Drosophila melanogaster: one gene and its partners. The protein of the gene in region 2 interacts with the protein of the main gene of each other region in a biochemical or structural test. Each region holds a gene or a part of one and is shown on either strand. Other genes may lie near its edges.

Region 1 (6,145 bases), on a different chromosome or scaffold from region 2:
TAATCTGAAAATATATATGTACACCAATACGACACTAAACAGGCGAGAAAGGCAGTGCTTAATTATTCAAATGTTATGCGCAATTTAACTCTTTGTTGTTGTGGCTTATGTTTTTGTTTTGTCGGTATTATTCAACTGCCATTCGATTTCGTTTCGTGGCGACTCCTTGATGGGCAAGTTGGCCAAGTGGGAAACCAGTTTTAGAATCGGCCAAAACCCAAATAGCAGCCACCATCATCATCGTATTAGAGAATCCCACGCAGAACGCGTTTCACTCACTCAGCTTTTAGCTAACGAAGCGCACGACTTTGGTCTAATAAAAGCAAAACACACACGTCCATGGAGACGCACACAGGGGAAGAGGAAAACCCCCACGCACAGGCATCTCTGAAGGTTGGAAAGCCCAGAGTATACACAGGGCGAAACTCTAAGAACTAACCCCATTCCAGCAGATACCATGAAAACCACATAGCTACACATGTATAAGCCGCCAAATATTCAAAGGTAATTTAACATTTCCTCTAATAATGCAATACTTTTTACCGTGCTCAATGGCGAAATAAAGACTCGCCCTCGCCTTGTGGAGAGTTTTTAATTAAAAGCAAATTTCATCTCAAATAATGCCGCTAAGCCAGCAACAACAATTAAGCAATTAATTTATTTCAGCTGTGTGGCACTTTGAATAGCGGGAAAAAATCCAAGCCGAGTAGTAAATGGCCCGGCAGGCGGCCAGATCGGATCAAACCTGTTGAATCGCGGTCCCAGAACAGAACAGTTCTGGGCAGTTCCCCTTCGAGAGAGAGTGCTTAGCCAAGCGGGTATACCAGATACTCGTCCCGTCCACTGACCGTATTTCACGAGGCAATGCAAATTGTCTGGCTACAGAGCGGGGTTAAAAGGGGTGGGCCCTAGGCAACCGAGGGATGCATTTGGATCGCCCTGCTGAATCACTTCAGCGGTGATTCATGCCGAGAATAAACGTAATTGTCTGTGGGCTCCATCGAAATTAGTTTCCAAGCTAATGTAAGCTTGCGAAACAATAAAATGGTGTGCAAGGAAAGATCAATGGAGGGTATGGCGGGTTATGCAAGCCAATTTTTCACCAGTCGTATAACTTGCTCAAAGCTATCCCCATACTACACGCTTTCATAACAGAGGGTCCACATATGTAGATATGTTTAAAACCAAACCTAACTAACCGATTGTACTTAAAGAAAGCGATTAAGGCTTCCATTATCAGCGTATAAAGAGAGAGATAACGGCCTTCCTAGACATGTCTTATCTGTCGCCCAAGTCTGGTCCCTCAATCCTTTTCCACTATCAGCGGTGCCAAAGTCAAAGAACTCCCATATCTATGCCAGATATATAATCTTAGATGCGGGGAACTGTTGCCGTTTCCCAAGAACACGCATTGATTGACGGTCTTTCCCATGCATGCCTAATGATCCTTCAAATGGGCCCTAATAACGACCAGCCCCCCTTGGGATCGGATCAGGTAACGCCCCGTCCCGGGGGTTACCCAAAAAGCGACACGCTCCCAAGACCCATCAGGCAGTTGACCAGTGGGTTACGTGTGCCATCGTGCACAGCAAAACTAGTGTATAAAGTTTATATTATCTAAGGTAGCGATATTTTCTAAAACGTAAAGAAACAATTACGTTGCAAACAATTCTCTCAGTGCAGGGCAACCCCAGCAACAATTATTCAACTTAAAGTCGGTGCAGCGGGGAAAACATGGAATCATTTCGGTTTCAGTTAGAAGTGTGCGCGAGCGTTCTCGAAAGGGGCGCTGGGGGGCGGGGCAGTCGGTGGGAGGTTGAGCGAATAAGAGAGTCGAGCATACGAGGCACGCTTTTCCGATCAAACCAGTTTGTCGTAATAGCTGGCATTTGGAATTAGTTACTGCCGATATATTGCTGCACTTGGAATGCGCCCAGATAGAAATTCCCGCACCACGCCCCTCGGCGACGATCCTCCCCTTTGAATAGAGAGTTGACTATTTTTAGCGGGCACCAGAACTTCATTAAAATACAATCAATTTGCAAGTGCAGCGCGGAGAAAATAACAAACAAGCACCAGCCACCCACTCTCTCTTTCTCCTCTCTCTCCCCCCCCCCCTCTCTCACACTCTTCCATACTCCGGTGTTCCCAAAGAGAGCGGAGAGATGGCATTTATGCTGAGCAGGCACAAGCAGAGAGGTGAAGATGGGACTGAAGAAGAAGCAGCCGCTGTGTCGGCAGAATGAAAACGAGGACGACCAAACTGCATTGTTGTCATATTTCGTAATACGCTGATGCAGCAGAGAAGCGAAGGGGTGGTGGGCGCAGAGGTGGAGCAGCAGGTCACGGCGGTGAGAGAGAGCGAGAGCGCAGGAGACTTGTTTTCAACACCAGCTTATCAGCGGGAGAGCGCGAGAAGAAAGAGCATAAGGGCAGAGCGCCAACGCAGCGGCGAAATGGAAATGTCAAGTTGGGACTGCGCTCTCCCTCGCTCTCGCTGCCAGCAGCGGCTGCGCTGTTCTCTTAACCATTTGGAGCCCCATTCAAATGTTCGATTCTTGCCATTCCATTTCGTCCGCTCATCCGTCCACATCCACTTGCGTTTTTGGTGCCCTGCGAGCGGGAGAGCAATGTGAAACGGGAGCACTACAAATACCGCCCACTACCACTACCAATTCCCATACTCCCATATTCCATGCTATTCCCAGCTCAGTTCGTGCCGTGTGATCAAAGCTTTCGGTAAGGCTTCGGCTCGGCTTTGTGTATCCACCTTAGCGGCTCTCTGTGGTGCTCGTTCTGCCTCTCTCTCTCTCTCGGTTTTGGGGCTCAGCTCAGGGACAACAAATGCGGTAAAATGGCTTCTGCGTCGACGTCGACATCCCTGCCGTTTCAGTTCTGATTGGAGGTTCGTGCGCGGCGTTTCCTCAGCTGATTTCTTTGCCTTTTGCCTTTTCGCAACCCGCTTTCGGCTCCGTGTTCGCCTCGGTTGCCAATTACGTGTAACCAACAACAAGAGAAGAAACAGAAACAACAACAAGTACTTTCGAGTGTTGCAAGCCTTCTTCCGCCGAAGAAACCGCAAAACGGATTACCAAGAATATTTGTAAAATTGGTAAGTGGTGAGATTATCCACGAAATAGTCTTCGAAAAAGGTCAAATCATCAAGTGTTCAAATTTAAACGACAAGTTTAAGTATTCTTATTACCTTCTTAAGACTTATCTTGAATCTCAGATGAGGATTTTATTGATTAAGATTCAAAAGTTCTTTAACTGGCTTTTGTTTCTGGAGTCCGTAGTGATTTTTTTAAAGATTTGAATGTTCACTGAATTATATTTTTGGATTAGAATCTAATCACTTTAAACAGGACATCGCAGGAGTCGAAAACAATTGATGACAAAATCAGCAGTTAATAGCTTTTGGATTACAGAATTATAGCAATAAAAGCCTGACAAATTGGCCAAGGGTCGTTTTGGAAATCTAGCAGTCTTAAAAGCCTAGCAGATACATTTTCTTCTAACAATTTCCCGCTCACACGCTCAGTACATGCACCAACACACGCCTATTGGAAAGACGCTTTTGTATCCAACTTATACAGATAGTGGTACAGCCACAGATACAAATGCACACATGCCGTATACGGCACATGGGGAGTAATGCCGCCACACTAGATACCAGATACTAGATACATAGATTCGTCCGCCGCTTATTTGTCGGTCGTGCTTCAGTGATCTCTGTCATTTGCAGTTGCCCATTTCCTTTTTTATCCCCCACTTCCACATCCAGTCGTCATTCGCCCGGCGCACCCCTTTTGATCACTCTTCCAGTTCCAGTGCCTTCTGGTGGCTTCCAGTGGCTGCAACACTTGCGGTGTTTTTCTGAATGAACCAATGGAGTGAATGTGTGAATGAGTAATCCATGTACGCAACATGTTTGCACTGCACAAATTATTTGGACTCAATGTATTGATTGTGTAACTCGGCTTTACGTTTATTTAATCGCAATAACTAAAGTGAGCTACAACTCTATACGTTGGTTACTATTCTTGGGAGGAAGGAAACCTGACAACCCTGGCCAAGGGGCAACTCTACACTTGCACCTGTGCTCCACGCTAAGCCACAAATTCAATTATGCAAATCAAGATCACAGCCCAAAAAACACAATCTTCGTCTCCGATCTGCATTTGTCTTTGTATGTTATGTTTATTTGTTACTTCTGTCGTTGTTTTTAATTCGCTAACCCACTTCACACAGTGGCAGCAACAACAAAAATCGTGAATTATACTTTGTATTGGGGCGAAAAGGAAACGAATGCCCAGTCTCAGATCACACATAAATTTTGCGGTTGTTTTGTTAATGAAACGACAAGAGCAGCACTATGCGCTCTTTACTATATATTTCCCGCTCTCCGCGAAAGCTTTTCTGTTTGTTTGCCCCACACACACAAAGACACTTGTGAACACCTTGCGCTCACTTAACATTATGCTCGAATTATAACTGTTGTTTAGCCGGCGATCGAAACGGTTAAAGCAGCAATGAAAGAGGGAAAAGAGAAAGAGGATGACATGACTAACAACGCAAACGCGATCTGAACATATGCATTGTTGTTTTCGCTCGTAGAAACCCATAAAAAGTCGAAACAGTAAAAGTCCAAGCGGCGTATACGCAATATCAGCGGGGGATAGGAAAAGGCAGAACTCTCTTATCTATTCTTCTCTCACTCTCCCTTAAGTACACAGGGCAAGAAATGTTAAAACATTTTTAACAAATAATGATTGAAATAATACAGGAAATTTTTCCGGTGCATTGGTTTAGTGCACGTGACTCTTTCACAAATTCTACTTAAATGTATCTGCCATCTTGCGCCGATTTCCTGCCCCTTTTTCGTATTCAACAATTATTCGGAACCAAATTTGCACAATACATTCCTTGATTATTGTTATTTAAAATGATTTTATATTTATTTATTTCATTCGCAAGTGCCAGCTGCCATGCTAAATAAATGTCTGTTGTGCGCGGTTTCCCCGTGTATATTCATGTGGTATACCTTTTCATCCACACGATACTCCTTTTCATATTCTGGGGCTTGTGGCATTACAAGTAAATGAAATTTTTCTTGAATGCATTTCTGATTTGAATCACCTTCGCGGAGAACGCCAGGTATTTCGCTTTCGGGGTTCTGCTGCCCCGATTGCCCATCCTGATAGCATACAAGTCGCGCGTGTACCCCATATATCTCCTTTTTTAATTAGCAATCTGCACAAAAACTCCGACTACTGCAAAAACCTAAATTCAAAAGTGGAACACAAACAAAAAACGCTCAAAAGTCAGCAAAAAAATGAGGAATCAACGAAAAATACAAGAAACAGAAAAGGTCAGTGACCAAAATATGTTTTGTAACTCAGGCAGAAATCTTCGCGAAAAGAGAATGGGCCGAAAAAAGCTAAGCAAAAGACGGAAACCAGAAGGCAGCAGTGGTAACCCTCCAGATATAGTTACAGTTGCCCAAAGATCATAAATTTTTACTTACATGGATATCAAAGATTCATAATAAATTTAAAGAACAATTACCAAATAAAACCTAATGTTATTTCTTAAGGATTTCTAGTAATTTCCGGACCCCAAACACGTAGTTAGGCTTATTTCACAATTTCCGCCTGCTGGCTGAAATTAAATATTTTTTTTACCGTTTTAAGCCTTTTGCAGGCCTTACAAGCATACATACGCATGCACTATAATTCAATTAACGACGTCGACGCCGCTGCCGGCGCAGCTCAATGTCCGCGTCAAGTATACGCCCTGTGGTGCCTGAAAAACTGAAGAACTCAAAAATCACTCACCCACACAATCGGCGGTGGATGTGTTCATCTGCCAGCCGTTTCCTATTTTGCATTCTTCAACGAATGGCAGCCACAAAAGCGAATTTCAAAAAGGAGAGCGGATGGCCAGGCATTTGACTTAAGGCTGCGAACTTATAGTACGCCGCTGTGTTTGTGCGGGAAAAGGCAACATCAGCGAAAAGAAATAAACACACAGAGGTAGACAGCACACTACGAAATGCAAATGAAATGTAATTGAAAGCAGCGCTGCCAACGCCTCTGCTACCCTTAAGCTTTGCCAGGGGACGGTGTCCGTTCCGTTTGTCCGT
Region 2 (8,590 bases):
ATCAAGGAGCTAGAGGGGATGAACACCAAAAACGGTTTTAAGATGGCAGAAAAAAAGCGCCGCCAGCTTAACATGATCCTCGTCGGCCAGGCGGGACTCCTGAATGGCAAAACACATCTCGATCAGTTGCTAGTCTTATTGCGTCGCCTGATCGATGACTTCTCGCCAGATGAACACGCCACGCCACAGTTGCGCAATGAGATCGAGGAGCATTGGCGAATGATCTTCTCGTCATATCCGCATCCGAATTACGACTCTCTGCTAAACAGCTATGGACGTTTGGATCAAAAGAATCGCTTGCCCTCGTTGCACATAGATCCTGTGCTGTTGGGACTGCAACAAAAGAAAACGCAGAGTCAGCCGCAATCGCCTAGTAAGGGGCCACCATCGCCAACGCCTCTCCCACCAGTTCGGCAGGACATGGCTCCACCACCACCTCCTAAAATGTCAAAGAAGAAGCAACGTCAAGCCCTGGATCAGCAAACACAAAATCAACAACGGCAGCAGCAACAGCAACAGCAACGTCTGCAGCAGCAACATCAAAACCAACAGCAACGCTTGCAGCAGCAGCAAAAGCAACAGCAGCAAAGTCTACAACAGCAACACCAGCAACAACGTGTGCAACAGCAACGTATGCAACAACAGCAGCAGCATCAGCAGCAAGACAACAACCAATATCAGCAGAATCTACGACGTCCACAGATCGACCAGATGCCCTACAATAATCTCCAGCAACGATCACGATCCGATCTTCAGCTGCGCCATACTCTCAATCCGGAGTGTGACCGTCTGTTGAGTGAAATGGATCACAATCAACCTGGCAGCATCAACAAGGACGCCAACAAACCGTCCATGTTCTGGTCACGCGAATCGCTAAAGTACCTCGATGATCTTTTCAAGATGACCTCCAACACAGAGACCGTAGAGCGGCTGAAACGAGTGCTACAGCGATCGCAGCGTGGTCTGCTGTCGCACAACGATTACCGAGCGGTCATTCGACTGCATTCCCTGATGTGCAACTGAGGATTAGCCAGGGTCATGGAATTTATTTCCTGGTGGGTCACCTTCATTTTGTTTAACAAATGCCAACAGATTTCACAATGGGTATCTTAAAGATATTACCCAAAAACCGAATAAATACATAACTGACTATTTTGAAAAAAAAACTCGATTTTATGATTTTATTAGGAATGAAGAGGCTCCAAATAACTGTGTAAATGTGTTTAGGATTTGAGTTGAATTTGTTATTTAATTTTTAAGTGTAAGTGTAGAAATAGTAACAAAATAATGACATCAAAGAACCGAATTTCAAATAAAAAACGGGACTCATTTTCTACTTCGTTTGCAATAAGTTACTATTTATTTATTTCAAACTCAAGAATGTCACACTACAAATTATAAAATTAATGTTATACAGTTTCGTTGTCGGCATTTTATACTTTTTCCTTGGCTTTCATGTTACATGGTCAGTTGTCTTAGAGTAGAGTTGTCCTTGGTTCTATGCAGCGGTAGTCTGTTGCTGCTCCTGGGTGGTCGTGGACTGCGCCGAAGAGATCTCCCCAGACTTTTCGTTGACTCCCAGCCAGGGACAGCGCTTCTGCAGCTCCAAGCGGTATCTGGGGTGACTTATGGCATAGACGAATGGGTCTATGCACGCCACCAGTTTGCAGGTGCAGGCCGGGATCATCGTGGCTCCTGGTGTAAGCAGACTCTTATCCCCGAATGCCCCGATCAGCGACATTACGCCGTAGGGCGTCCACGACACGAAGAACAGGAAGCAGATGGTGATAGCCGCCTTCGCAATCCGTATCTCCGCCGTCTCCTTGCTCTTGTCCACATTGGAGCGCAGCGACTCCACGTTCATTTTCTTGGCCTGCTCCCGTAGGGCCTTTTCGTGGCTGAAGACATGGCCCACGATCTGCGAGTAGTAGTAAAGGATCATCAGCGTGGGACACACGAAGCTGAAAAAGAAGATGGTGCCCACAAACAACCGGGTGTCAAAGTTGTCCGAAAGATAGTCGAAGGAGCAGGACGTGAGGTAGCCCTCTGGAAATGCATAAAAGTGAAGAAGATTAATGGGATTTTTGGTATTAGGATATTTATTTACTTCATATTCGTAAAACGCAATTTTACTCTTTCGTAAATTTGTTTCTTCGAATTTCCCGATCCAAACTAAGTTCTTAAACATTCCCGCCAATGATGTGACACAAGGTCAAGGTATCACCAATCAATATTTTTATTTAATTTTTTGTATTGCCTATATTATTTGATTGGAAATACTATAAATCATAAAAAAGTATTTATTAATGAATTATTTTAAAAATTAGGCTTTAGTTGTCAATAAGAGTAACAGACTACATTATTAACTTTGATCCTTTAAAAATTATGCGCCTGATTCGATTTGTATTATTTCAAAACTGATGTTTTCCTGTTATTAAATTAATTTGACAAACGTGGCAAGGCTGTTAAGTAATCGATGACAGCAATTGATAGCTACCAGGAGGCACTGCGATGTTGCCGATTGCGTGTAATCGACTATCTGGAATCGAATAGACGACAATTGGGGTTCCATCTCTGCAACCGACGCGGACATTAGAAGAAACTCAGTATAGTAAAGTAAATTAATTAATTAACCAGCTAAAGGCAGACATCACGCCCAAAGTACATGGAGAATGCCGAAAAAGACTGAATTCCACACCGCGCAAGGGCAAGTGCAATAAACGCCGACTGCGACGATCAAAGAACGCAATATAGAAAAAGTGAGACACACGAAAAAAACCCATTTCGCTGCCTGTGTGTAAATGCAAATGGTTTATTTTTGTGCAGCAACAACAACAACACAACATCAGCAGCAGCAGCAACACAGAGGCAGAAAAGGCGAAAATAACTAGTAAAGCTAAATATGAATAAATGTGTATGTGTGCGGGTCGCGTTAAAGAAAATTAGATAAAAAGCCAAATGAAATTAGCTCACGCCTGAATTTCGAGTTTCGGTTCGGTGCAAGGTGAACGAAAAGGCGAAAAGCAATCAAAACAGTTTTTCCATTTTCCCAGTGTGCGTGTGCAGTAGCAAAACCACCTGCATTGGTTATATATATATATGCGGTTAAAAAAATAACAAATTGCAACGTAAAAAACGGAACTTGCACCTAGGATATATACACACACATGCTGGCTGTATGCGTGTGTGTGTGTGCATGGCCGTAAAGGCTGACTGACTGATAAAAAAGGAAACAAAAAAATAACAAGAAAATAAAATATACACATACACACACACACCAACGCAGCGGGGCACCAATACCTCGGCACAATTTCTTGGAGGCAGCCTGCCATGTAAGTTTACATATCAACGATTATGTATTTCGCAGTTGTTGTTGCTGTTTAAACAGCAGCCTAGTCGCACTTAATGGCGGCATAAATTAAAGAAAGATAGTCGCATTTCGCTTTGCTCCGCAACTTACGTTTTCTATTTTACCATTTTGCAACTCATGAAAGCAGAAGCTAAGTTAATTATATTCATGGCTATGACTTTTGTGGCAATTACCATTTTTACCCCGTATGAACGTTTCCAACGGTACGCAACGTAAACGAACTGTTAATTATGTGTGTGCGATCTGTGTCTGTGTTGTAAGTGTGTGAGTTTCCCTCCCCGCGGCTGCCATCCCCTACCGCCACCCACCCCCTACACATCCTCGTTGCATTTGTTACGTTACGCACTCTTCATTACGATATTACGTTTATGCGGGCGATGGTACGAATTTCATAATGGCAAATGTTCAAATAATTTTTCCAATATATAGGGTAAAGTATTAAACATTTGTATGTTCATGCGTTTCATGTGTTTTTGTTTTGGGTTAATAAGGAAACATATTATTTATTTTTTAGGTTTGAGTTTGTTTTCGAATATAAACAATATTACTGAACTCCTTTCACACAAAATTTTGATAGCAATCATATAGCAAATATATTCCCGTTAGGAAAGAGAACAAGTTTTGTTTGTACATCAAAGCTAAACAATTACGAAAACTTTATATTATTATATTGATATTTATCTTATAAACGCACCAAAGCACCCACAGCATATTGTTCACACTAATGTGTGCCCATTCTGTCCAAAGTGGACAAACCCGTGAAACCGAACCACACCCATTACAACCAGCACGACACCCACCATCGCACAATCCCGCCATGGGTCGACGTCCCTAATGGCCGTCCATCAGCGTCGGCTCCGTCAGCTCCGCCTGATAAGAGCCAACATATTTGCGCCGTTCCACACGTGCCGCCAAGAGGCTTTTGGGCTTGGGCTCGGAGTTGGAATCGGAATCGGGCCTTCATTTCGATCGGAGACGTGACGGCGACCTCGGGCTGTGTCTTTGCTTTTCGCAGACCAACTCCGGTTCGATACGTTCCGCTTTAAGTAATTGCTTAAATGCAATTCCCATACACGCAAATGCGTGTGTTTTCTTTTTTCGGTAATTACAACAATTGGGAATCCACGGCAAGGTTAAGGCCAGGAATGATAAATCGCTTTGGCTTTTCTATTGGGCGGCACGAAAAACGAACTACCTAGTAGTAGTGATTACGCGAAATAAGTTTTAAATTAATAAGGCTCAAATTAAATTATTACAAATGGATAGTAGTTTTGCTGGGCAACATTTTTTATAGCAATCGAGTAGATTTTGCTTACACAGTTTGCATTCATTTCATTTCTATTACTTCATGGAAAAATATTTTTGCCTATTACTCATGTCCCAGTGGGCACAATAGTTTGGAATGAACATTCAAATCAATAGTATGCTCCGAACTTAAGCCGCAAAATCGATAGAAAGCTCATAACATATGTTCAAATTTAAACCAGCATTTATGCAGTGTGTTATACTGTGATTTTTTTTGTTGGTTGATATATGTTATTTTTGGATTAACTAAGCCTAATCGAAACAAACTATTTTTGTTAAGATATCTGTATGGTTTTGTAGGTTATTGTTTTTTGGAGTTTCTTATCACTGAACGAACAAAATTACAAAAAAAAGAAAAAAAAATTATACATATGCTATGACTAAATTGACCGCATTACTCACTGACCTGTGATTGTATCTCATTTTAGACAGAAGCACAAGAAAGCCATTGCCGAAGCCACCGGGAGGGCGAAGAACCTGAACCTGGCGAGAATTGCAGGGACCCAGAAGAATTGTAGACACATTCGTGCCGTTGCGAGAACCCTTCCAATGTCCAATAAAATCAACCCGAAGCGCCGCGAACCGACAGCAGCAGCAGCAGGAGCCGGTGCCACGGGAGTGGCCACCAACACGAGCACCTCGACCGGATCCTCCAGTGCCGGCAACACGTCCTCGGCCAACACATCCTCGTCGTCCAGCTCCTCGCTGTCGTCCGCCGGTGGCGGTGATGCGGGCATGTCCGCCGACTTGACCTCGCTGTTTGAATGCCCCGTGTGCTTTGACTATGTGCTACCGCCGATCCTGCAGTGCTCCAGCGGGCACCTGGTGTGCGTGTCCTGTCGCTCCAAGCTCACCTGCTGCCCCACCTGCCGCGGTCCGCTGGCGAATATCCGCAACCTGGCGATGGAGAAGGTTGCCTCGAACGTCAAGTTCCCGTGCAAGCACTCCGGCTACGGATGCACCGCCTCGCTGGTTTACACGGAAAAGACAGAACACGAGGAGACGTGCGAGTGCCGGCCCTACCTGTGTCCGTGCCCGGGCGCCAGCTGTAAGTGGCAGGGCCCGCTTGACCTAGTCATGCAGCATCTGATGATGTCGCACAAGAGCATCACAACGCTGCAGGGCGAGGACATCGTGTTCCTGGCCACCGACATCAACCTGCCCGGCGCCGTCGATTGGGTAATGATGCAGTCCTGCTTCGGCCACCATTTTATGCTCGTGCTGGAGAAGCAGGAGAAGTACGACGGACACCAGCAGTTCTTTGCCATCGTTCAGCTGATCGGGTCGCGCAAGGAAGCGGAGAACTTTGTCTATCGCCTGGAGTTGAACGGAAACCGACGCCGGCTCACCTGGGAGGCAATGCCGCGTTCGATCCACGAGGGCGTCGCTTCCGCAATTCACAACTCGGACTGCCTGGTGTTCGACACGTCGATTGCGCAATTGTTCGCCGACAATGGCAACCTGGGCATTAACGTGACCATATCTCTGGTCTAAACGCACTGTCAATTCGTCGGGTTCTTTCATTTCTTGTGTTTACTATTCCGATACAAATACATATATAGTTTATAGCCCTCTGTTCGCATCAGGCGTCTAACTCGTGGACAGATTGTGAGTCTGGAGATTAAGAAGAAAGAGTTTTGCAGAGTTGTTTTATAAAAATGATTCTCTATTCTAAGAGCCACTTACATGCATATGTATATATATCTATGGAAATATCAGGCTGCTTCGATTATCACATTCGGCACGATATCGCAGTTTTCTTTGATTTTTAAGCTAAGACACTCACAATTTTCCAAAGCGAAATGGAAAGCGTATTAAAGCAATTGCTAAGTGATGTTCAGTGTTTATTGCACACGTTCGTTAAACCTGTAAAACCGCGTTTAAAATTCGTATTTTCATTTTTAGTTTGCACATGACTGTGTGTAAATCTCACTCGTTTGCAGAAAAATGCCAAATATTTTTGGTGAGATTTCGCAGATTTGTATAACACACTTTCCTGTCGAATGCGAAAATCGTGGCTGACCTGTATGTTTGTATGTTTAATCGGTTCGATTGGTACTCTAGTTCTAGGACATGATTTTTCAGTTACCGCACACACAATACTATATATTTCAAAGTTTCAGTGTTACCCGTTTTGTTAGTTCATGGGGTTCTGCTTTAGTTTAATTTAGTTCGTAAGGTCCACACACCTGGAGCAGAGCTGCCTGCGCGTGCCCACGTGCCCACCACCTACTACAGTGAACGCTAGGAACACACAGACCCACTCACCAAAACGAGGAGAACAGCAAGAAAGGCGAGGAGGTCACTCATCCACTCGAACATGTACTGCAAAGTCTAGTTTAGTTAATGTAAATTATTTTATACAATACTTGTAAATGGTAATAAGTAAAACGAACAGTTTAACGAAATTAACAAACCTAATAACCCACAAAGAAAAGTAATATTTGATAGCGATAATCTGTAATAACTCGAGAGTTGTTTGAAAGTTGCAGCCTAAACGAAACTGCGACCCGCAATTTTGTTCATGCCAAACCATCACAAAATAACAAAAACACACTAAAAAAAAAAGAAAACATTTTTTTTCGCAATGCTAAAAAGACAGTTGCCCCTTCCCATTTCCCCCCAAGTCCCCCCAAACATATAAAGCAATGTTAATGTTTAAATTTCTATCTAGTTAAGACGATCTCCCCGGTTTGGCTCATGTTTTGGTTTTGATTTCCATTCGGCCAACGTTTCCCAATCGAAAACGGAAGAAAAATTAATGATTTTAAGCATCTGCACCGTAATTAGCTTTTAATGCGCCGATTTACCGCGCCACTACCATATGAGATCACTCACACAGACACAAAACTACAAAACTGAAATAAACATGATTAGTAAAAGTAAACAATGCTCGTTAATTATTGAAATTAATCTGGGGGAAGCTGAATTACAAAGAAGAGCTACGCCACTTTATAAACTTGTCGATTTAAATCAGTTATCTGTTTAATTTGGATTATCTTTGAGATACTTGGGTTACTTCTAATGCGTTTTAAAACGTTGCAATAATAGATGGCACAAGTTTTTAGTGGTGCACCGCCGAAGCATCTTAAAGATTTAGCTGGATTGGTATCTTACTAGGATACTTAGGCCAATTTCAAAAATAAATTTTTAAGCTGATTTTAAAATGATTTAAAGCAAGTAGGCTCCGAAGTAAAAGTAGCTCATTATACTTTTAGCTTCGTTGTATTGTGGTACAGATTGTATTTTCGAATTCTTTTAAGCAAAATTTCAGTGTTCAGAAAAAGTAAAAAAAAAGTAAAACCATCGGCACTCTCATTCTTCAGAATCGTTTGGTTGTTAGGTCTTAGGATTAATAGCTTGCGCATTGATTGTTGGCTGAAGCACAGATGTCTGTTCGCAACTCACGCCCCCAGTTATCGTGGCCGGAGCGGGTAAGTCCGCAAAGGACTATTGACACTCCAACGGCATCCGGAGAAATGTTGACTCGTCGTCAATCGGCACCAGCGTTGGTCGTGCCGCCGGAGGAGACCACGCACGTTGTGGTGGTCAAGCGGCAATCCCCGGACGCAGCCGCTGCCGGAGAACTGGTGCCGTCTAGGCGGAAGGACTCGGTGGCTGTGCAGTCGGGAATTGTGGCCACTGGGCCATTGGACACAACACGCAGTGGTGCAAGAGACGATTTTCTAATGGCTTTGCTCGAGTGCCCGGTGTGCTTTGGCTACATAATGCCGCCAATTATGCAGTGCCCGCGTGGCCACCTCATCTGCTCCACCTGCCGCTCAAAGTTGACCATTTGCCCCGTCTGCCGGGTGTTCATGACCAACATCCGCAGCCTGGCAATGGAGAAGGTGGCCTCCAAGCTGATCTTTCCCTGCAAGCATTCGCATTTCGGCTGCAGAGCGCGGCTCTCTT
Region 3 (6,785 bases), on a different chromosome or scaffold from region 2:
CAGCGATGTTCCGGATATTTGCAAGGATAAGCCGTGCATGCTGGGCGTGGACGAAGCAGGGCGTGGTCCCGTCCTGGGACCTATGGTATATGGGATCTCCTACTGTCCACTGGAAAGTAACAAGGCTTTAGAGGACCTGGGATGCGCCGATTCCAAACAACTAACCGAGGGGAAACGTGATATCATATTTAACGATATCAACACCAAGGAATATGCGACCAGTTGCGTTGGCTGGGCCGTGGAGATCATATCGCCGAACACGATCAGCACCAGCATGTACCGGCGGTCGAAGTGCTCCCTGAACGAAGTTTCCATGGACTCGGCCATGGGCCTTATCCAACAGGCGATCGATGCGGGCGTCAATATAGCCGAGGTTTATGTGGATACGGTGGGTCCGCCGGAGAAGTACCAGGAGAAGTTGCTCAAACGTTTCCCCAGCTTTAAAATCACCGTGGCGAAAAAAGCTGACTCCACCTATCCAATAGTCTCTGCTGCTAGTATATGCGCCAAAGTTACCCGTGATCATGCCCTCAAGGTGTGGAGCTTCCCCGAGGGCTTGGTCATTAAGGACAACGAGTTCGGCAGTGGATATCCGGGAGATCCGGTCACAAGAAGATTTCTGACCGAGTACATCGATCTAGTGTTTGGATTTCCACGACTTGTGCGCTTCAGTTGGTCCACCGCGGAAAACGCACTGGCGGACAAGGCCTATGACATGGAGTTCGACGAGCCGGATTCCGAGAAGCCCAAGTACGCCGGCACCAAGCTCACAAAGTTCTTTAAGGGCACAACAAAATCCGGCGAAATAATTCGCGAGGAGTGCCGCTTCTTTAAGCAACGCCATCTGGAAAGTGTCATGGAGTTTTAGCAACAAATGAAAATAAAATTAAGTTCAGGAGTATCTATATTTACAAAGAATAAAGTTTAATTTAAGTACTTTAGTATTAAATTTTAAAATGCTAAAATACAAAAAACACCCAGGCCCAAAACGAAAACAGATTAATTTTTATCTTTAATGTATTTTTGCTGATGTTCTTGTGTTTCCGCCAATCTCGTGTTCTTAATAATTACGTTCGATTACTGACTACGTGGGACTGCAGTTACACTGTTCTGAATGTATGCGTGAATCGGTCTGATCTGATCTCTTGGCATCCCTTTTTTGGAGGACAACTGTGGAATTGGGTAAAGGACTTTTGGTGGGGAGGGCGGGGAGTTGGCTGGCATCTTTGATCGATACAATAACAAAATGCAAAGTTATACTAAACGATTTTCGTATAAAAAGGGACGACCTTAGAAACATGGAGCTTATGATTAAGATTAAAATGAGGCGAGTCGCATCCCGCTGATCTGAAGAGAACAACAACCATGTTGAAGCCCCCAAAAATCCCAGGTGCATATCGATATTTTGTGACTCGAAACTAAGCGTACGAAATAGACGTGGACAAAAGCGGGAGGATCTCATCTCAAGAGGTATACCTTAAAGAACTAATTAGAATTTAAAGCAATTACAAATACGATTGCAGGGCGGGATAGCTAAGAAAGGAGTTACCTAAGGTCCGGACTCCAGATCCAAATCGACTTATGTTGGTAGAATTGTAACTGATCATATTTCACTTCTTTAAAAAATATAGTTAAATGCAATTTTTGAATCAAAAGTAAAAACTTCTCGTTCCGTAAGAAAGTGAAAAACTACCGATTTCATTTTTACCAAATAATGAGCTGGAAAAGGAATCTTGACTATTTTAAGCGTTGGCTCAATACACGAAATCCAGTTGTGGCTGCTCCGGCAATCAGAACTTTCGCAGGTCCAACACGAAAACGCTACCGTCGGAGGCACTGGCACCCACCTTAGTGCCCTTGGAGTTCCAGCACACCTCAAAGATTCCGCCCGTGCCCTTGTAACTGTGCACTAGCTGTCCCGTTTGCGTGCTCCAAATGTGTACGCACTTGTCGAAGCTGCCGGAGGCCAAATGCTTTCCATCCGGACTGAAGGCCACCGAATAGACTGGCTCTGTGTGCTTGGTGAGCGTGTGGATACAGCTGCCCCTCTCCACGTCCCACAGTCTTACCGTGGAATCGAACGAAGCGGATGCGAGGATCAGGTTTGTGTTTGGATTATTGGTTCCCGGCCCCGTGGGCGACCATTTTATCGTATAGATCTCCTTTGAGTGAGCCTGCAGATCGTGGCAGCAACGATCTCGGTTCATGCTCCAGATCTTGAGGGTCATGTCATCAGAGCAGGACGCCAGCAGTTGGCCCTGCGGACACCACTTGATTGCATTCACCTCGTTTGTGTGTCCTTTAAAGGTCTTGATGGGTTCATTTACACCCAACCGGCACACATGTATCCGCTGATCCGTACTGCAAGAGGCAAAGGCCTGGTTTGTCTGCCAGTCCACATCCAAGGCTGGAGCACTGTGAAAGGCAAATTGCTGGGTGCATTGGCCCGTGGATGCGTCCCAGATGATCGTCGTCTTGTCCACGCCAGCCGAGAGGATGTAGTTGCCGCACTTGTTCCACTTCAGAGCAAAGATCGGACCCTTGTGTTGTCCCAAAGTAGAAGCAAGTCGACCGTCGGTTTTCCAAATTCGGGCGTAACCATCGTAGCTGCCGGTGGCGAGCAAGGAACCATCGCACTGCAAAAACGAGAATAGATTAAGTAAGGATCAGAAATCAAACTTTGCAAGGCTTAAGTGCCAAGATCTTCGACTTACATTCCAGTCCAGAGAGGTGACGTCCTTGTTGCTAGGCACCTCAGCGCCGCCTTTCTGGATGCAGTGGCGCAGCACCAACTGGTTGGAGTTAGTGTTTGCATCGGACATGTCCCATATCCTAGCAGTGCTGTCTCCCGAACCGCTTGCCAGTAAATCCCGGCTAGGATTCCATGCGCAGATAAACACCTCGCTTTCGTGGCCGCGTAATACACGAGCCTTGGATTCGGGTATTTCGATGTTCTCGTCAATGTCCATGGGAACAAGAGCTGCGGGAGTCCCAGCACCTCCGCTGGTAGACGAGGAGATGGTTCCACTGGGAGCAGAGCTTTGAGCATTGGACGAACCAGACTGCACGTTGTTTCCTTGGGCTCCTACGCGAATCGTAACCGCTCCACTTGGCGCCTTTGATCCTGTTGCAGTCGAAGCTCCGCCCGATGCTGCTGCGTCCGGATTGGAGGTTGATACAGTTCCACCAGCGGGCGTCAGCCCGCTTGTAGGTTGTTCTACGCTGCTGGAAGTGCTGCTATTGCCATTTGTGGATGTTGAGGAGGCTGCATCATCGGTACTGGTAGCATTTGCATTGCCTGCATTGCCACTAGATGAGCTTCCCGCTTCATTCGAGTTCTGGGATTTCTTTTGACTTGCCCCAGGTGCTGCCAAATCTCCACCAGCTGGTGTGCTTGTGCTATTAGATCCTCCAGTACTGGCCTGGTTCCCTCCAGCTCCATTGTTTCCGGCGTATGTGCCGCCAGCATTATTTGCCGCATTTCCACTGGAGTCTACCTCGCTTGCCGACTGATCGGTTGGTGTGCTTGTGCCCGTGGTGCTGCCAGCAATTTTGTTTCCACCTGCTGAGCCCGCCACTCCGGTACCCGGTTCTATTTTTATCTCAGGCTTGGCATTGTTGTTCTGGTTGCCACCGGCAGGGGCAGAAGAGTCGACTGCCCCGGGTTTTCCCGGCTCTGTTTTCACAATGGGCTTGAGTGGCTTCACCTCCGGCATGACAGCGTCTATTAGAGAGAGTCCTTCAATGGGTCGCGCCACCTCGCCGTCTTCGCCTACGCTCCACTCCACTTCAGTGTACAGAAGACCCTTCTGCAGGATGGTGAGCAAAGCGGCAGGTGGAACCAATGCGCCATTGATATTACTTTGCGAGATGTGTGACTCAATGCCAAACACGTAGGCCGAGTGCAGAAAGCCTAGAAAACGGGATTGCATGAGATTAGGGCGGGCTGTTATCTTGCGATTGGAGGGTTTTACTCACCCGACTCCTGCAGGTATCGGTAAACCAGAAAGTTCACCTCGTCGCTGGAAAAACTCATGACGGAACGCGGTTGGCTCCTTCTCCTACTACTAGCGCACTCCAAAATCCACTCCTATCTCCAATGCCAATTATGTTTTTACGGTGCGAAAATCGGAACTGTGCTGCGTAACACATGCGTCTGCATTCGGCACGCTTATCACTTCGGCGCAAGCCACGGTATCCGGTGCTACTCCTGGTACTTGGATCGATCTGGTCGGTCCTGTGTTTTCAATTCTGCCAGTTTGCTGCTTGCCGCAAGAGCACTTCACATATTTTTTCCACAAATAAAACCGAGGGATCGAAAACGCGTTTCTGAAACGCGCAAAAAAATGGCGGAGTAATCTCAAGGTGTGCGCTGCGAGAGGTTGCGCAGCCTTGTGTTTTGTGACGTCACAAGTTTTGACAACAACTTAATCAAATTTGAGTCATATTTTTGTATTGCACCAAGCGTTACCTTAAAGGATAGAACGGAAATTTATTAGCCATAAAAACAATTAAGAAGATATTTTTGGATTTCTGCTTGGAGCAAAAGGTAAAAAATTCTTAAAGCGAATTGTCGTCTCTCTTCGTCCATCCCTGTGTACCCATCCCTCGAAGTAATCATTGTATTTCAACCCAACGCTCTACTGGTCACACCAATCGTTCCACCCGCGCCCGCTAGATGGCTCCACTCTTAGGCAGCGAGAGCGAAGAAAAATCAATAGAAATTTTCATTTTAGTGAATTGCCCTGCACTTGGTAATAGTTAACAAACAAATTAGCGGCAAATCAGCGAGGCGAAGCTCCAGCGAGTTGGAGTTCCATAAAGTGCAACACGCAGGGTCAAACATTCCGCAGCCAACACCCCGGATTCCGATTCCAAGCGAAGCCAACTTCAGAAGTCAGAGATTACTCTCTCTGCTCCGCCACAGAAATTCCGCAACGCTAACCGATTTTGTCCGCTGGCGAGTAAAAAAAATCGGAAAAGTAAGCTCAAAAAAAAAGAACAGCTAACATACGCCCATTAATGTTTTTGGAGGCTTCTTCGGTGCTTTTTTTTTTGGGCAAAACGCCCTCGTCATCCAGCGGTGAAAAAAGTGACGTGACATGAAAGCAAAGAAAGAAGAGAACCGAAGAGCGCAGTGAAAAACAGAAAATAAAACGAAACGGAAAGCAAAGTAAAAAGTATACTACAGAAACAAAAGCCGGTGGTCGCGCAAATCCAAATAATAATGCCCAAGTGCACATCGACTTCGCCAGGCGATAAAAAGTGGGCGAGCGAGGTCACAGAATCTTTATCAACGGGCAAAACGCTGCCAAGTTGAAAATAAATCGGTTGCCAAAAATGCGGGGGTACACTCTACTTCCACCAGAAAATGTCAAAGTTCGCCAGCCATTGGGTGCACTGGCCGGAAAATCAATCACGTAGTCCACTATTTACCGTTTAAAAGTTCTGAGTTTATTAAACATTGGATTTTTTATACATATAAATCGTTATCAGCGCTTGATGCTCAGTGAAATGTGTGGTGCATACATATTTTGTGGCGTTTTCGTTATCAAAAGTAAAACTGCAATACGGACTTTCAAAATAGAAGCTGTATCAATGTGTTGGCATGCACAATAAGCTACTCCCTGGCTAAATACAAATTGTTATCCAAAATACCTTTTGTTTGAATAATATACGTTTGTTAACACAAATACTAAAACGTAATCATAATACTAAGTTTTCCCATTCCCACAACCCACAATAAATAGAGTATCGTTTCCCCTTTCAGGTCCCAAGGAACGGCCGAGATCCAATCGAAGTAAAAAGAGCTTTGCAGAACCAGAGCGGAGAGCAACTATATATCTTAGGGTCCGACGTCGAGTTCGAGCGATAAGAACGCCTCGAGACTCGGCCGCCATCCATTGACGATTTTCTTGCGCCCCCAGTTTGCATAAAACCAGCGAAAATTAACAAGCTAACTACCATGGCGCCGGTGCGGGGGGATGGCATGAGAGGCCTGGCCGTCTTTATATCGGATATAAGGAACTGTAAGTGCAGATCTCTTGGGTAACCAGCATTAAATCCAATTGAGCGGGTCGCAACAAGAGATTTTCCATAGGGGCGGAATCAGCGCCATTACTTGATCAATTACCAGGAGCAGCGCACTGACAAAAACGTGGGGCGGTACAAAAACGCAGGAACAGTAAGCTCTCTGCCAGATGAATTACAAAATATTGGCTACTTTTCTTCTCCATTCCTATGTAAATGTTTTCGTAGTCGTTACATTAGAAAGATATGAGAAAGTTATATATATAGTTATATATATGGGTACAACACAGCAAATAGTTATATCAATGTGAATCGGTTGCCTCTCAGTATTAATAAATACTTACAATTTTGATAGTTTGATGACTTACTGTAGTACTTCGAAGCGTGCATATGTGTGTGCGCAAGAGTCCGACGCTTCACTGTATGGTATTATTATCACAGCTCGTTGTTTGCTGTATGCTCGGTTACTAGTTTCTGGTTTGTGGACAACATATAGGAGAGCAGAGGTTCCGCTGCGGATCGGTGACTGGTACTAATTGACGCCTATGTGAATCGGAGAAAATCCGCGACATGGAGAGAGCTGAAGGGTGTGAAGTCGTCTCTCCGATCGATCAATCGCGGGGTGGAAAGGAAAGCGAAGCTTCCGCAGACGAATCACTGTTGTTTTACTGTGAATCTCCCTTATACCCGCATAAGACACAAATTTCTATACTAATATTCACCCATTTGCCCACAGGCAAAAGCAAAGAGGCCGA
Region 4 (8,479 bases), on a different chromosome or scaffold from region 2:
GCAGAGTGGCGAGAATCGCGAGGCGTAAGCTCTTCGCACGGCCATCGGGCGTATACGCGATTTCCGGAAACTGCACGCTCTCTCCGTCTCCTTCGACGTGGCGGCAAGTCATCTTCAAGTTCAGAAGGCACGATGAATTTTATTTATAAATAAAAGTAACCTTAGTCGCCGTCTCAATAAGGCGTACTTGAAGTGCGCGTAGAAATTTCCGCACCACATTATTAACGTTGCCAGTCATGTCGGCGAAACCACAATTGCCAGCCAGCCAGCCAGCCAGCCAGCCAGCCACTCAGTCATCAGTTCGTGTATTGATGAAATGCCATATTGTAAGCCAAAATAAGTATACGCACCGCTGTCTCAGTTGCATAAACAACAACAACAACGACGATGCTGACCTCCACACGTTCGTTCTCACTACGCAATTGCCTAAATCAAATAAATACGCTAGAGCATCAGAAATCAACAATTACACATCGGACTTTCGCACGCAAGGCGAAAACTAATGATATATGTATGTATTTAAGAGCATGTCGTTCGTTGGTTCTGGAATATCTTAAAATGGATTTCTAATGTGATGAATTTTCTTAGCTTTTCTATTAGTTAACTTATTAGCAAATATATTGCAGAAAATTTTTAAGTAAAACATAGTAATTTTAGTTAATTTAACAATTAACAATTTAATTTCTCGTACTTCATATTTTATGTTAAATATTGAAGAGAAATATTTTCTGTAGGAAAATTTTCTGCAGTTCTACATTTTGATTTTGGCGCCACAAGACAGAAAAATTAGAGCATACTTTTTGGCGCCGTGAAGAAAACAAGTTGGCAGCCCCAATTTAGTAACGAGAAAAAGTGCATACTTTTCAACGTAAAAATTTAATTGGATGAGTAACATTTGGCGGGAAATGTAAAATTAATTTGGTTTTCATAAAGATCACTCCTTATTCCTCGGAATAAATAGAAAATTCATACCACCCGTACATTTAAATATAAAAACATTCATTTATATACTGATTGCTTTTGTGCTATTTTTATTTCGCATGTTATTTTGAAATACTTTTGTCTTTTGGAGCAAACAAACAAATTCAACTACATTGGCTCGAGGGGATTCTCTTTTTTGTTTTTTTTTTTGGGTAAGTCAGGGATTTGCCTACGACTAATATGTATATTTTAAATATAGCTTTCCACATCCGTTAACTTAACATTCTTAGGTCTTTTGTTGTTTGTTTTGTGTGTGTGTGTTTTTTTTTGTCCGCTAATTAATTAAGGTATTTGACTAACAATTAAAATGTAATCGAGGTACTATTAACTTAGACATTTGCTAATGCTCATAATTTGCGTATTGTGCATGCAATTTGACTATTTTGTGTGCGGGGCATCAATTGGACCCATCGTTTTTAGACGAGGCTAATGCTAAGGCCCATTGGTAATCGCAGGCCAGCGAGTTGGATTGAAGCTTGGTGGGAATTTTGGTGGCTGTTTCCTTGTTTGTGGTGGCTCTGCGGTTCCAGTGGCGCTTCCGCCTCCTGCACCACTTCCAGTTCCGCTCGGCCATCCACTTCTTCCTCCTCCTCCAGCTCCAGCTCCATTTCTTGTGCCTGCTGGTTTTCCTTGTTCTCCTCGTGGGTAACCTGATAGCGGGCAGTTGGCAGGACTTCGGATATGGCGGTATCGAATTCCAGCAGTATCTCATCATCATCGAGGTCCCGCGTCCAGCGCGGCGCCTCTTTGAGCGGACTCATGATCTGCGGGAGTTTCGAGCAGGCGGGGTTTGATTCTGCTGAATATGCGGCGGGTTCTTCCCGACTGAGTGTGGTTCCCAGTCGACGGAACATGGCCACTACTTTGCCATCCACACTGGGCTGCGGGAATCTTTGGTAAGTGGGCGTGGATTGTGTATTGAGCACTGGTGTGGGTGTAGCTGTAGCTGCCACATCCTTAACCAGTCGCTCCACTGGTTTCCGGCGCGGCGCCACACACTCCACCTTGCAGATCGCATTGCTCCTCTTCTGGCCCTGCGGCCTAAGACAGACGAACACCGACTGCTGATTGCGCTTCTTGGGACTCCGCCGCAGACTCTCCACACAACACTGGCGCAGCACTCGGCTCATCCGGCTGACGGAGGCACTGCGTCTGCTGGCTCTTCGCTTCGAATAGACTATGGGTGCGGGTGTGGGATTAATTGGAACTTGGGGCTGCAGTTGGGGCTGCGATTGGGGCTGCACTCGCACCGTGGGTCGAACCATCGCCACCGGACGGAGCTTCGTCCTTTCCTGCTGCAGCACACTGTTGCCCATGTGCGAGGGACTTTGGCTCTGGCTTTCGGCCTCATTGCTGTTGACCGCCTGCAGGGAGTGCCAGTTGATCAGCCAGTTGTTGCAGCTAAAGCAGAGGAATTTGTCCTCGTTCAGGGGCTGAAAGTAGAGATATATAGGGAATAGATGAGTACGGGTAGTAGAAGTAGTTTTATCTAGACTATAAAGTTATTGCTAATCATAATATACTAATCATAACTATTCAAACTCATTTGGTCCTTCAATTAATTTAATGGCTGAGTAATAACCCATTTTATAAATTGCTTACTGCCTTAGACTGATATGTAGCATTCCAAGTAAAGGATAAAAAGCCATTAGAAAGAACCGAAGGCGGTTACATTGTAACTTGCAGAGCCACGAAGGCCAATCATTTATTGATTATAGCCATGAAACCGTTAAGGTCATCAGGAACCAACCTTAGAATGAAAATTGACCCAAATCCGATTGCGTGACTCGCAATCTGAAGCCAGGCATAACCCACAGAATAAACCTCTAGAAAATTACGATACGCCTATGCACTTAGTGATCGCTCGCGACACCCGACCACTACCACCACCACTACCACTAATGAGCATCCAGCCAGAGGTGCAAAAAAAAAAAAAAGACCATAACAATTCCGAAAAACAACTGCCAGACGACCCGGGCATATTAATTACCCAGCCAGACCTCAGCATTCCTCGGGTATCAATAATTTCGTGCACCTGCCAGCAAAAACTAAGCGCCCAGCGGTAGCAGCTGGCCCAAAAGGTACGGAAAACCAGTAACCAGTAACAAGCCAAAGGGACATTCGCTACTTAGTTCGAGCCTCGAAGGAAACTCGTTTTCGGCCAAGAGCCACGCGCCCTATCCATATATATAAAAAAAAAAAACACATAATGCCGAAGTGGAACCGAAGCGGGAACTGGGTTAAAACCCCAACTATGACGACCATTAGGCACGCGCATGCGCGACAGCTGCGCCGAGAAATTAGATAAAGGTGATCGGTACGAGGGTCGGGGAACCGAAAGGATCGACCAGGATGGCGATAGAGGAGGAGGAGGTGTGCAGGGTAGAAAGGATCAGGAGCGATTGTGGCTGGCTGTTTACCTTTGGGTTCGGCGCTGAAAAGGTGTGCTCCAAGGGCCATGTGTAAACGGTATAATAATGCAAATTGCAGGCCAGGTGCAAAGCAGACAGAAAGCCACACAAACACACACACACACACGCACACGCACGCACGCCGATCGCAGATGCACTGCGAGAAAAAGGTGTGCACTCCTAAGATCAGTTAAATATGGGCACATGAAAAATATGTTTAAAAGTACTTCTATTAGTTTGAAAACAACTCTTCGTGCTTCTGTTAATATAGCTGCATATTTACTCAATTTGTAATGTTCCTTTTTTCTAAGTGCATAAGAGTGGGAGGTGGGGGGGCGCAGTCTGATAAGGTAATTGCAACTGGACTTTATGGCACTGTCATTCAGAACTCGAGCTTATAGAGAACCCGGCGAGGGTGTTGTTCCTGTGGGGGAGATCGGTTGCCAGGCTACGATCACGGCAGGTGGTGTATGCCCACCGTATAGGGTTTCGCAAAAACGGTTCAAACGAAATTCTAACGACGTCCGGAGGGGGTGAATATATATATATTCTATGTGCATAGAGGGTGAGCTTCTAGTGTCTGATATTGCGGGGTTAGCTGAGGGTTTTTGTTATTATGAAATCGCATTGCGTGCGTCTCGAGCATTTCGTAATTAAATTGATTGCTATACACACAATACTAGTTAAGCACAATGCTTCAATTAATCTAAGACCGAAACATATATTCCGAAAATATGTGGAAATACAATCTACCAATATCTACCCAATATTTTAACAACCTATGTTAGCAACCACTTAATATTGTTTATGTTTTTATAGGACTTCGTTTTAAGAACTCTCATTCTGACTTTGTAATCCAATTGAACGGAAACCTTAGTAAAAACTATTTCCCAAAAATACCAAACTAAACGAAGACCTCTAAATGGAAATCTTGTCTAGCTTGGCACTTCTGGGACTTCGGCTGAAAATTCGGGCATTTGAAATCACCTTTGTAAACGCTATTCCAAGGGTAGATCCTTTGTTTGGATTTGCGCAGCTTAAGAAACCGGAATTTCTATCCAAAGATATTTGGCATTCTCCAAGGGTTCAACCACCAATGCTGCTGGGGAAAATCCCTTCGTCTCACAAACAATAAACTGTGAACTCGCATCCAGGTATCCGAGTTCAATAGTTGATATGCGAAAAAACTCACTCGAGACCATGAAGAGCTGATAAAGAAGCAGCAGCAGCAGCAGCAGAGGATCCAGAAACCCCGATGGGTTGGATTTTGAGTGCCGACCGGCAAATACAGCTGTCGTTTTGGGATATGGAAACGAAGAGAACGAACACACCGGGTTCGTTCACTGCCCGCAGAAATTGGAGCAATCTCGGCAAATCCACAGCACATCTGCCCTTTCGAGCAGGTTTATGTGTGCGCCGCCGGTACAGGTAGTCATGGGTAGTCATTTGAGTGAGGAGGAGTGCCTGTAATCCGAGACCCGAAACTCACTTCCACAGAAAAACAAGCCCAGGATCTTCAGCCAGGATCGATTTCCCTGGCCATCTTCCGCTGTCGCATTTCCCACACACACACACACCGCACTGCTCGCATATTAGAACAAGCTGTTAAAAATTATGGGAAAGGAATCGAACTAAGTGGCGGCTCTGTGGCACTGGCACATATGCAAAGTGTCCAATTACCAAAGGTTGTCGGGGAAATGCATCATCTGCTCGGCGACAGGATATGCAGTTTAAAGGGCACAGGAAAAGGTGGGCATACCACAAAACTAATAGGGATAAAGGATTTTGAAATTTTCATTAAGAAAGTAGTTTGTGATAGAACTACTAATTCCGAGACCTTAGTTCTTTGCAAATAATCACTTAAAAATATTAGAAAACTGCGCTCGAAATCAATCATCAAATAGCTTGCCACTCTTTTTTTCCCAGTGGGCTGCTGTGAGGGAGTTACCTGTACCTGCCTATAGAAGTGCCACCCATTTTCCCATTTTCCGCCCAGCGAAGTTCATCCCCTTTTAACCCAAAAAAAAAAACACACACGGATACACGCGCAGAGGGAAAACTTTGTCCGAAGGACGTTCCTTCGTTGCATGACTCATCCGCCGAGTTGCCCCAATATCGATTTTTATACGTTCCCCGCCTAACTGAGTTTTTATTTTTTTTGCTCTAAGTTGGGAAAAATCCATACCTGAAACTTGAATTTCGCCTGGATTAGCTGAACGATATTGGGTCCGGAGCGGGGCTCGTAGATATTGATCGTCTGGTTGGTGTGGCAGCCGCAGATGAGGCAGGTGCGTTTCAGGTATTCCGAGGAGGCGGCGGGTGCGGCAACGGCCGCCGAAGGATTCGCCTGCTGCTGCTGATTGGTAGACATCCTGGCGATTTTTCCCAGCCTCTGACGTCACCAAAGGTCGCACTAACTTCTGCCGATATTCGACTTTCGCACTCGTATTGTATTTGTATTTTCACGATTTTTTGGGGTGCCGCGAAAATGTGGCAAACAACAAATGCCAAGCGGCGAACGCGTGCGACAGAGCGAGAGAGCGGGGAGAGCGAGAGCGGGACAGCGAGCTACGGAGCGGCACGTCCTTCGCGTTGCACGCACAAATTTCGAATGAGCCTTGCTTGTCCTCATCGCATTCTGGGCACCACTTTCAAAATTTGTGCCTGCGGGCTGCCACATCTGGCAAATGACATGCGAGAGTGGCGAGCGTTGTCGGATCGATGGGAAAAATAAGAGATAAAGGATAAGCTAGACACTAATGAAATAAAAGTCATGCAAAATATATCATATTTTCAAATCATATATATATTTTCAAATATAAAACAAAATTTAAAAATATTTATTTATTTTTGTATAATTTTTATACTCAAATGCAATTTTTTGGGCTCAGATTAAGCCTGGTGTTTTTGAAAAATGAAAACATGTACCATATAACCCAATATTGCAGTGAGAGAAAAAGCAACCATAAGGGTGACATAGCCGAAACAAAACAAACAGGCGGCATATGTTCACATTTAAGGGCGCCAAAAGGGATGTTGACTGCTAGGATGACTAGTGCGAATTCTGAAACAGGAAACGGATAACAAAAGGCAGTGCCAGTGGAAATATGCAGCAGAAGTTTGACAATTTAACCACGAATAAAATTCTGATGACTGATATACTTTTATGCCAAATAAATATTTATAAAAAATAAGGAATAACAATGTTAATGATTCTTAACCTGCTGATAAACCTTATTTTATAATTTTATTGCCTTGCAAGGCGAATTGCCAAATTCATTCAGCGATCAGAGCCTCGCAAATTTTATGAATGAATCGAAAAGCACCGACAACTGTCTCCGAATATTTTGACAACTTGACCTATCTGAACTTTCGACACTCAAGCTCGTCCCTCGCGTCCAGTCCTTTGGATTTGCTTAAGCCGCCGAAGGAATCGGTGGCAGCTGCCATTGAGCGACAAACGCCGAATTTAATGTGGACGGCCTCCTCGACGGGCACTTATCATTATGGAGGACCCGCCGGCTCAACACAGAGCCCATATCATCCGCGGCACGAATAGCTTGCAGCATGTGCGCATTGTGGGCTCATCAACAGGCTGCCGAGTGCAGAGTCTGGTGCTCCCCCCAAACCCGTCGATCCTCCGCAACGGCGACGAAGCACCGACAGCAACGGCAGCTGCTCCAAAAACAAAAAAAAAAAAAACAAAAACACAAAAGGTGCGTTTCGATTTTTCGTTTTTTACCCATTTTTATGCGGCATTCGGGCAGTTCAATCATATGTTCTCTGTGTTGTTGCTCATTTTGAGCCGGTGGTGTTGCAGCTTGCAACCGGATTTCTTCGTGGCGACAGATGTTTCTTCTCCTTTTTTCTTTCGTCCGAACCTTCTTCGTCCGCTCCTCCGATTTGCGACGATCTTCTCAGATCGCAGACACTGGGTTAACTGGCGCTGCTCGCCGCTACTTTTACTACGCATCTTCGACGATAGTAAACAATGGAGTAAGGAGCAGGGAGTAAGGAGTAGGCAGTAGGGAGTAAGGAGTAAGTATGGGGCACGGAGGTTCCAAGCGCAATCGAGGCCTCTGATGAATGAATACATGAATGGAATCAGGCGAGGGAGTTGCGTGGCGAACGAATAATGTATCCGGAACTGGACCCTCGATCGATCGATTTCCGCGACATATGCGTATCAAATTTTCATGTAGATCTCTGGGATCCCAAGAGAGGAAGTGCCCAAGGTGCCAGGATGAGATATCGAGGATAAGAATGGGATAACGAAGTTTTTTTTGGAGATTTATGGTTAAGCATTTAAATATTTATTATCAAGATCTCTATTGTGATCCTATCAATATGTTTAAACAAATGGTTTTGGTGCATTTGAAAAAATTCGGTTTTTTGTATTCCCATTTTTAAATCACTGCTCTTATTTATTTTACTTCGACTTTGACTACGCAATTAAACACTATTAAAGCTAAACTACACTACGCAAAACTAAAGGGTACCGTCTAAAAACAATTATTACGCCATTGTTTGTTTATTAATTGTACATCAAATTTTTTTAATCTCTTATGCAATTTGACTTTAAGAGGAAATATATTTATTTTAAACATACCGTTGCCTTTAAGTGTCACACCAGCGACATCTATGGAGTCACAGCGCCAGTCGCTACCAAACAGTTTTCAAGAAATTACTGTAGGTGGCGCCTAACATTCAAAGCAAGGCGAATTGCGGCGGCGAAAAATGAATTCAATCGGTCTAGCATAATTTTGGTCAGTAATTGAATTTCTTTTGTTCGCATTCAGCGAAAACCATCCACAAGATCTATTATTTAGAATCCTGAATATCCAATAAATATTGAAATATGTAAAAGATATATCGTTGTAAGCGATTAAATATATTTTAATGTTATATCCAATACAATAGTATTACTAATTCATCTTCATCAAAATATATAATTCGTTCAGCTGTCTTACTATTTCTGTACTATGTGCAATAATATACCTTTATATGCTTCCAAGTTCTTAAAATGTAATGTAAAAAAAAAATGAAAAAAATATGTAAAAACACCACTCCAGTGGTGAGTGCACTCA

The links.
Region 1: the proteins of sina (region 2) and ttk form a complex in vitro, tested with the Drosophila melanogaster proteins (one study listed by BioGRID).
Region 3: the proteins of sina (region 2) and ebi form a complex in vitro, tested with the Drosophila melanogaster proteins (2 studies listed by BioGRID).
Region 4: the proteins of sina (region 2) and phyl form a complex in vitro, tested with the Drosophila melanogaster proteins (3 studies listed by BioGRID, with this or other methods).

What each region holds. Positions count from the first base shown.
Region 1 is NT_033777.3:31,711,158-31,717,302, forward strand, and holds the start of ttk (tramtrack), read left to right. Parts: upstream 1-2,709; 5' UTR 2,710-3,112; intron 3,113-6,145. UniProt on the Drosophila melanogaster protein: Binds to a number of sites in the transcriptional regulatory region of ftz. Isoform beta is required to repress inappropriate segmentation gene transcription and repress genes incompatible with development of photoreceptor cell fates.
Region 2 is NT_037436.4:16,851,194-16,859,783, forward strand, and holds sina (seven in absentia), read left to right. Parts: upstream 1-2,557; 5' UTR 2,558-3,332; intron 3,333-4,725; exon of another isoform or gene 4,726-4,791; intron 4,792-5,103; 5' UTR 5,104-5,224; coding exon 5,225-6,169; 3' UTR 6,170-7,519; downstream 7,520-8,590. Other genes in the region: Zcchc7 (zinc finger CCHC-type containing 7), read left to right, coding at 1-1,023; Rh4 (rhodopsin 4), read right to left, coding at 1,499-2,046; sinah (sina homologue), read left to right, coding at 8,065-8,590. UniProt on the Drosophila melanogaster protein: E3 ubiquitin-protein ligase that is required for specification of R7 photoreceptor cell fate in the eye by mediating the ubiquitination and subsequent proteasomal degradation of Tramtrack (ttk).
Region 3 is NT_033779.5:412,640-419,424, reverse strand, and holds ebi (ebi), read right to left. Parts: upstream 4,359-6,785; 5' UTR 4,037-4,358; coding exon 3,979-4,036; intron 3,914-3,978; coding exon 2,715-3,913; intron 2,637-2,714; coding exon 1,791-2,636; 3' UTR 889-1,790; downstream 1-888. Other genes in the region: CG13690 (uncharacterized protein), read left to right, coding at 1-868; AP-2alpha (adaptor protein complex 2, alpha subunit), read left to right, coding at 6,601-6,700, 6,767-6,785.
Region 4 is NT_033778.4:14,426,331-14,434,809, forward strand, and holds phyl (phyllopod), read right to left. Parts: upstream 6,008-8,479; 5' UTR 5,764-6,007; coding exon 5,578-5,763; intron 2,415-5,577; coding exon 1,398-2,414; 3' UTR 1,006-1,397; downstream 1-1,005. UniProt on the Drosophila melanogaster protein: Essential adapter component of E3 ubiquitin ligase complexes; involved in R7 photoreceptor cell differentiation, embryonic nervous system, external sensory organ development and specification of particular muscles.